Sus scrofa: one gene and its partner. The protein of the gene in region 1 purifies or fractionates together with the protein of each later gene. This does not show direct contact. Links are inferred from orthologs where the notes say so. Each region holds a gene or a part of one and is shown on either strand. Other genes may lie near its edges.

The links. The genes of interacting proteins can lie anywhere in the genome.
Region 2: the proteins of ARID1A (region 1) and SMARCD2 purify together in Homo sapiens (affinity purification with mass spectrometry; 7 studies listed by BioGRID and IntAct, with this or other methods). This does not show direct contact. The link is inferred for Sus scrofa from reciprocal best matches to the Homo sapiens genes ARID1A and SMARCD2.

Annotation. Positions count from the first base shown.
Region 1 is NC_010448.4:84,073,678-84,077,329, reverse strand, and holds part of ARID1A (AT-rich interactive domain-containing protein 1A), read right to left. Parts: intron 1,495-3,652; coding exon 1,282-1,494; intron 1-1,281. UniProt on the Homo sapiens protein: Involved in transcriptional activation and repression of select genes by chromatin remodeling (alteration of DNA-nucleosome topology).
Region 2 is NC_010454.4:15,098,388-15,102,039, reverse strand, and holds the end of SMARCD2 (SWI/SNF-related matrix-associated actin-dependent regulator of chromatin subfamily D member 2), read right to left. Parts: intron 3,450-3,652; coding exon 3,294-3,449; intron 2,876-3,293; coding exon 2,780-2,875; intron 2,652-2,779; coding exon 2,550-2,651; intron 2,439-2,549; coding exon 2,277-2,438; intron 2,140-2,276; coding exon 2,042-2,139; intron 1,881-2,041; coding exon 1,745-1,880; intron 1,577-1,744; coding exon 1,454-1,576; intron 1,318-1,453; coding exon 1,216-1,317; intron 1,097-1,215; coding exon 1,043-1,096; 3' UTR 141-1,042; downstream 1-140. UniProt on the Homo sapiens protein: Involved in transcriptional activation and repression of select genes by chromatin remodeling (alteration of DNA-nucleosome topology).

The DNA.
Region 1 (3,652 bases):
TTCCATTTTCTCATTGAAAAAAAAAGTGACTGTATTTAAGGGCATACTTTAAAGTCTTAGGTTTTTATATTTATCCGTCACCATTTTTAGTGTGATTATCACTCAAGGATAAATTGTAGAAAGTGCTGTCAAAACAAAAAATGACAATAAAAAGATAATGCTGTGGATGGCCAGACAAGGAGAGGAGGAAAATCTTAACATTCGTAACAGCACTGTTAGCATCTTTACTCCTCAATCTTTCCTTTTCTGCTACCTAGTCGTCCTAGTCCCTTCTAAACATGCATTTTTTTTTCTGGCCACACCTGTGGCATGCAAAAGTTCCCAGGCTAGGGATTGAACAACTCATGCCACAGCAGTGACAATGCTGAATCCTTAACCCATTGAGCCACCACTCCTAAACATTCACATTATTTTATTTATTTTTCTTTTTAAACAGCCACACCTGCAGCACATGGAATTTCCCAGGCTAGGGGTTGAATCGGAGCTGCAGCTGCTGGCCTACGCCACAGCCACACCAAATCCAAGCCACATCTGAGACGTACACCACAGCTTGTGGCAATGTCAGATCCTTAACCCCTAAACATTTGTTTTTTGTTTTTTGTTTTGTTTTGGTTTTTTTTTGTCTTTTTGCTATTTCTTGGGCCGCTCCCGCGGCATATGGAGGTTCCCAGGCTAGGGGTCGAATCGGAGCTGTAGCCACCAGCCTACGCCAGAGCCACAGCAACACAGGATCCGAGCCATGTCTGCGACCTACACCACAGCTCACGGCAATGCCGGATCGTTAACCCACTGAGCAAGGGCAGGGATTGAACCCGCAACCTCATGGTTCCTAGTCGGATTCGTTAACCACTGCGCCACAACGGGAACTCCTAAACATTTGTTTTAAACCACACAGCTATATGTTGAAAGCCTTGAGAAACATGCAAGCCTTCTGTCCCAGAGCACATGGTAGGAATGACTTTTCTTTGTAGCAGTGGACTGGTGCTCAGTCATTGCCTTTCTTGCCTCCCACTTCCTTCAGAGATTACCAGTGAGTACAAGGAGGCCAGCCAGGTCACAGAATAAGACAGATAAGCAGAGCCTGCCAGGGACCAGTTTTCCTTGAGCATACATGCAATGGTGCCCACAACTTGGCCTTTTAAGTAGCATACTGTAACTAAGATTCAGCTGGCCTATGTTCCTTTCAAGACATTTGGAAACCAAAGACACATTCTGATTCTACAGCTCAAGATCAGATCCTGGACAACAACAAGGATTAAGGAAATTGGAGTCACCATCTACCTGCTGTGCATAAGAGAGGCCGCCCATGGTACTCTGCGCTCGGCCCTGCATGGTCATTGGGTACCGCTGTGGGGTCTGGGACCCATACGGCTGCCCTGGGTACCCATGTCCTTGTTGCGGTCCTGATGGAGGTCCCTGTTGTTGCGAGTACGGATTAGTCCCGCCATATGGCTGAGGTCTCATCTTGCCCATCTGATCCATTGGACTGGATGGCTACAAAATAAAGAGCATTTTATTAACCTGAAGCTGTGATGGCCTCTGACCAATGAGAACACAAACCTAAGCATATAGGTCTATATGCCACAAAGAGAAACAGTTACTATGAAAAAGTAATGGTACAGACCCAGTAACCCCTTGGGCAAATCATTTAACCTTTCCTCAGAACCTTGAGTTTGTCAAATGTAACATGGAAAATACCACCAGTTTGTGAAAGCATCTTGTAGCTATATACTATTTTGTAAGTGTGGTACTACTTGAGATCCACAGGACAGGCCAAGTATGGAACAACGAACAGATGTACTCTATGGTGCAGGAAATCAGAACAAAGGCACTTTAGCTGGGAGGGGATGGTGCTGCTATACTCTGTCATGATCTTGTTCAAGAACATGAAAAATGATGCTTCAATACTGTGGTTGAGAATTTAAATACTCAAGCATCTAGATGTTTTTATTCTTAAATAGTGGAATCTTTTATTTCCTTGCACATCCATAGCCCACTTGCACCACAGCACAAGCACCTAAATTTGTTTTTTCTTCCAAATGGGTAACATAGCTACGTTACAGCCATTAAGGAAACTGTGACCCTGAATTTACTTAGAGCCTTGTACAAATCAACTGGAAAGATCACCTCCTTTAATTTTCAAGAGCTTGAGGGTGCAAGGAGGGTAGAACTTACATCTAAGACATAGAGGAGTTCCCGTCGTGGCACAAGGGAAACAAATCTGACTAGGAACCATGAGGTTTCGGGTTTGATACCTGGCTTCGCTCAGCAGGTTAAGGATCCAGCGTTGCCATGAGCTGTAGTGTAGGTTGCAAACATGGCTCAGATCCCGTGTTGCTGTGGCTCTGGCGTAGGCCAGCAGCTGTAGCTCCGATTTGACCCCCTCGCCCGGGAACCTTCATATGCCATGGGTGCAGTCCTAAAAAGGAAAGGAAAAAAAAAAAAAAAAAAGACAGAATAATGAAAGCTCAAAGTTCCATTCATAGGTTTTGGCTACAAACGTATCACTCAGCTCTTTGTGGTGCAACAGGATCAATCAATTCATATCACTTTTTGACCTAACTTTGTAGCCTATTAGAGCTACACAAGACAGAGCCCCAGCACACTTTCCCCTGCCAGAAATGCCTACCTACATCTATTGGTGGTGTGGAGGGGAGAGGGGACTGTCTCTAGGCATCTTAAATAGATACACCCAAGTTGCAAAGTAGGCCTGGAAAACATAAAACTTGAAAACTGAATCTTAAATTGGGGATGGGGAGCAGATATTAATACTCTGGACCTGAATATCATAAACTTTCAAATTAAGGAATTCAGTGGTTCTCAAACCTCAGAATATATCTAAATCACCTGGAGGGCTTGATAAAACACACAATGCTGCAACCCACCCCAAAATCTGATTCTGTAGGTCCAGGGTTGGGTCCAGGATATGCATTTATAACAACTCCCAGGTGATGTTGATGTTGCTGGTCCAGGGATCACCACACTTGAAGCAGCACTGGTCTAGATTACACCTAGGGTCCCTTCCAGTTCTATTATTCTATAACTCTTCCCCCCCGCCCCATTTTTGGCTGCCCCACAGCATAAGGAGCTCCTGGGCCAGGGATCAGATCTCAGCCACAGTCTCAACCTAAGCTGAAGCTGTGGCAATGCCGATCCTTAACCCCACTGTGCCAGGCTGGGGACTGAACCCAGGTCTCAGTACTCCCAAGACACCACCAATCCCATTGCACCATAGCGAGAGCTCCTGTTATTCTACAACCTTACAAAAGAACACAAATCCCTCCAAATTCGGGGGGAGGGGGGGGAGATCAATTGGTTGTCTGTACGTATTTCTCTCTTTTTTTGGCAGAGTACTACCTAAGTGTTTTATGATAAAGGAAGTTGAGCTGTCATGAGGAAAATGGATAAGATAAAAAGCCACAGAGACTACTCTGAAATATCAACAGAAAAAAAGCAGAAGCAAAGTTCTCTCTTACGCTGCAGCTGAAACCTCAGATTAAAAGGTAACAATGATGAGAACACCTTCCAAGTTTCTAAACTGTAAGAATCATAGTAAAATGGTGTCCCAAATCACCACTACATATTAATATTATCATTATTTTAATTTTTGGCCACCCTGAGGCATATGGAGCTCCCAGGCCAGGGATCAGAT
Region 2 (3,652 bases), on another chromosome or scaffold:
CGAGAAAAACATGTCCATCAAGAAGCTATGGAAGTGAGGCAGGTGTCTTTCGTGTGGATTCCCTCAAATAAAGCTCTGCAGGACGAGCCTTTGAGGACTTGAGTCTGTTAATAAGTGGCTACACTGTTCAAACACTGGGTCTGGGTACCACCAATAAACAAAAGATTTATTTGGAAATTTCCAAACCTGCCAGAAGTGGCACTTGCCAAGCCCTAGGCCCACCCACCCTCCTTACCGAGCTCCAAAGGGCAACAGCAGTCCTGCCCACTGCTCCTCTTCTCACCCTGCCCTCCAGCAAGCCCGCACACCCACACCTCAGGCCGTGCCCGAGAATAGAGTGCACCCTTCCTCTAAGAGGTGCTCCCCCCAAGCCCAAGAGCCGGGGCGGCGGCCCTCTGGCATCCCAGGAGATGATGGCGGCTGGAGCCGCTTGCATAGATCAAGGAAAGAAAAGAAGGAAGGAGGCACCAAGTAGGGCTCCCTGAAAAACCCCAGCTTACCCCTGTATAAAAAGTGGCTCCCGCATAGAAAAACCTGCTCCACAAATAGTGCAAATACCCAAAGGAAAGGAAAAAGCCAGCAGCAAGGCTGGGCTGGTAGGAATGGCAAAGAACTTTGGTTTGGAAAGGCTAGGAAGAGTGTGAGCTGTGCCCCTCTTCCTCGCCCAGCTCCCCAGAGCCAGCTCCGACACTCGCCCTCAGGGGGTCTGTAAACAAGCAAAGCCAGAGTGGCCTTTGGTTCTGAAAGGTCTCCTTACAATGTCAAAGCACAGCCTCCAGGTCCTACTCGGGCCTGCCTGCAGGGGGCAGAGAAGGCCTCCTGTGAACCCAATTAAAGCCAACGTGTAAAATAATAAGGCTTTGGGGACCAAGCAACAAGGAATCCTATCACTACATTTTGAAACGAAAGCTGGGAGCAGAGAGTGTCAGGAGACACCTCTCACCCCCTCCTTATCCTAAGTGTCGGCACTCCAGAGGGTGGTCCCCTTCCAGGCCGAGGAGGGGGTGGCTCCAGGGCTGGGAAGAAAGGGATCCCTGAGCAGTTAGGTCAGGCGGATTCCCAGCACCTGTTCCAGTTCCTGCCTTCGCTGCTGCACCTGGAGGGGGAGAGAGCTGCGCTCAGACCTGTCCGCCTGTGCATGTGACCGCACCCCTCCCCTCCCGAGTGCGGCCAGCTCAAGACTGCAGGCGGGCAGGTGGGCAGAGGCGGCCTCACCTTGGCAAAGATGTGCCTCCCCACTGCTTCCTGGGCCCAGGGCTGGTGGTAGAAGGCAGCTCGTCTCTCCTCCTCAGGATTCCCAATCACATCAGTGATGATCTGCAAAGAGCCGGGAGGAAAGCCGGATGTGATTCCCACCCCTTAGCCAGTCTGCCCCCGGAACGGAAAGAAGAGTGATGGGGGCAAAACCACCCAGCGCTTAACATGGGCTCAAGCTCAGGAGAGAAGAGCACACCTTGAGGTCCCGGCGCTGGGAACGGAGCCATTCCTGGATGAAGTCCTGGGGGTCAGTGCTAAAGCTGAGCATGAAATCCCTCTGGGTCTTCAGCTGGTTGATGGACTCGATGGTCTCGTGGATCTGGGAAAAGGAGTCCATGGGTCAGACTGGCTCCCACCCCTACAGGGTCTGGTCCCAAGCCTCACCCCAAAGGACTCAGATCCTGCCCCAAGGTGCTACATGTCTAGATAGAGCCTGCCCACCTCTATCTTGGGCCCCAGAGCAGGCTGGGGAGGTAGGAGGGCCCACCTTGACATCAAGAGAGGCAATCTCCTGCTGATTGGTGGTAGAGGCCAGAAAATTGCTCATCTGGGCCTTGAGCGGGTCATCCACCTCCACGTCAATGTCATAACAGGCGGTCTTCTTCTGGTCGTTCGGGTCCACGCTGAGGACAGCGCACAGGAGCCAGGGTGAGCACACCGCTGTCGCCATCCCACCCACCTGGGCCACGCTGCTAGGAACCAAACCTGCTGCTTCTCTCTGGTTTTACATCAAGCCAAACATAAGCTGTTCTTAGAGGAGCCTTCCTCCCCGTCTCCCGTTTACCTAATGACATGATTGATGACAATGGGGTCTGGATGCTGCAGCAGCCCAGCCAGCTTCATGGGAATCTCAGAGAAACGGAGTCGGCCACAACTGAAGATCTGGAAAGAACACCCGAGGGTTGGGACAGGGGAAGTGGACCATCCTAGGATCCGTGTGAAGAATGTGGCCAAGAACTAGCCCAGGGGGTGGTGGGGGGAGGCTCTGGAGCAGCACGCAAGGCAGGGGCCCAGCTAACCTGGCGGAAGTAGCGGTTGCAGTTGATGTACTCGCGCTCGTGGCCGTCCTGCAGCTGATTGTGTTTGATATAGAGCCACAGGGCCTGCATGATGGCAGCCCTCGTCTGTGTGTGCACCCCCAGCAGCCTCGCCAGTCGGGGGTCCAACTTGTACTGGGGAGGCTGGGGATGGACAGAGGGGTTCTTAGGAAAAATCAAAGTGGAAGAACAGGGCAGGGACAGGGTTTATGATAAGAACATGCCCCCACCCCCCCAGATGAGGGGCACTGTCACCTGATGATCCAGCATGAGCAGGAGGGTGCACTTGACATTGAGGTCTCCAGGCCGTTTCACTTGGAAGCCATCTGTCTCCTGGGTGGTGGGCATCCGGTGCCACTGGCATGAGGAGGGGAGCAGAGCTCATCAGCAAGGGGGTGGGCATGACCCTATACACAACTGGCCCTACACGGGGACCAAGACCATTTCTCTGCCCACCTGGCACGTCACCCCAGGCCCACTCTCACCTCCACTAGGTGGTTGTCAGGCCCGTACAGTTCCTTGTCCAGCTCAATGACAAGGCTCTTAAAGAATGAAGAAAACTTCCTCTTCTGTTTGCTAGGCTGGGGATGCAAAGGGGTGTGAGATGGGGGTGCTGCTGGGCGCTCGAGCCTAAGCTATACTAGGCCCCAAAGAGGAATGCTGTCTTGGCCCTGAAGCTCGGGGACCCGAGGGCTCTTGGGCCCTGAGGGAAGAGGAGAAAATGAGAGACTGGGGACAGGAAAAGGGCTCTATGCAGCCCCACTGGCAGCCAATAAAGCACGACAAATTAGAAAGGGGTACCCCTTCCGCAGGACACTTCACTGCCATCTGCAGGAAAACTATTGTCACAACCATACAAATCTGCCACCTCTCACTGACTTGGAGCTGTGCAAAGCTGCTCTCCCTCAGGCAGGACATCCCCAGGAGCGCCCAAGTGTCAGCCCAAGAATGAAACCCACACAGGCCACCTCCCCTCCAGCACCTCTCCCCCCAACTCACATCATCCAGCAGTTTTCCCTCTACTCGGAGTTCCCAGGAAGCCACCTTGTCCCCTGCTGGGGTCCCCCCAGGAGTCCCTGCGCTTCCTGCACTGTCACCTTCTGCCTTGCTGGGACTGAACGTATTGGAAATATAGATCCGCAGCTTTCGTTTTTGCTAAAGAGAGAAAGACAACCGGTTAGCTAGAGGGGGCCCAGCATGTGGGAAAACACTGCCACCCAGTCTTCCCTCTGGACTCGTTCAACATCAGTGCAGAGCAGTGACGCTGGGCCAGGCCCCTGTTAGGCAGTGAGAATTGGGAGTAGGGAGTCCCAGGCCTGGCCTTCAAGGAACTCAGTTTTGTAAGATAGACAGATGCA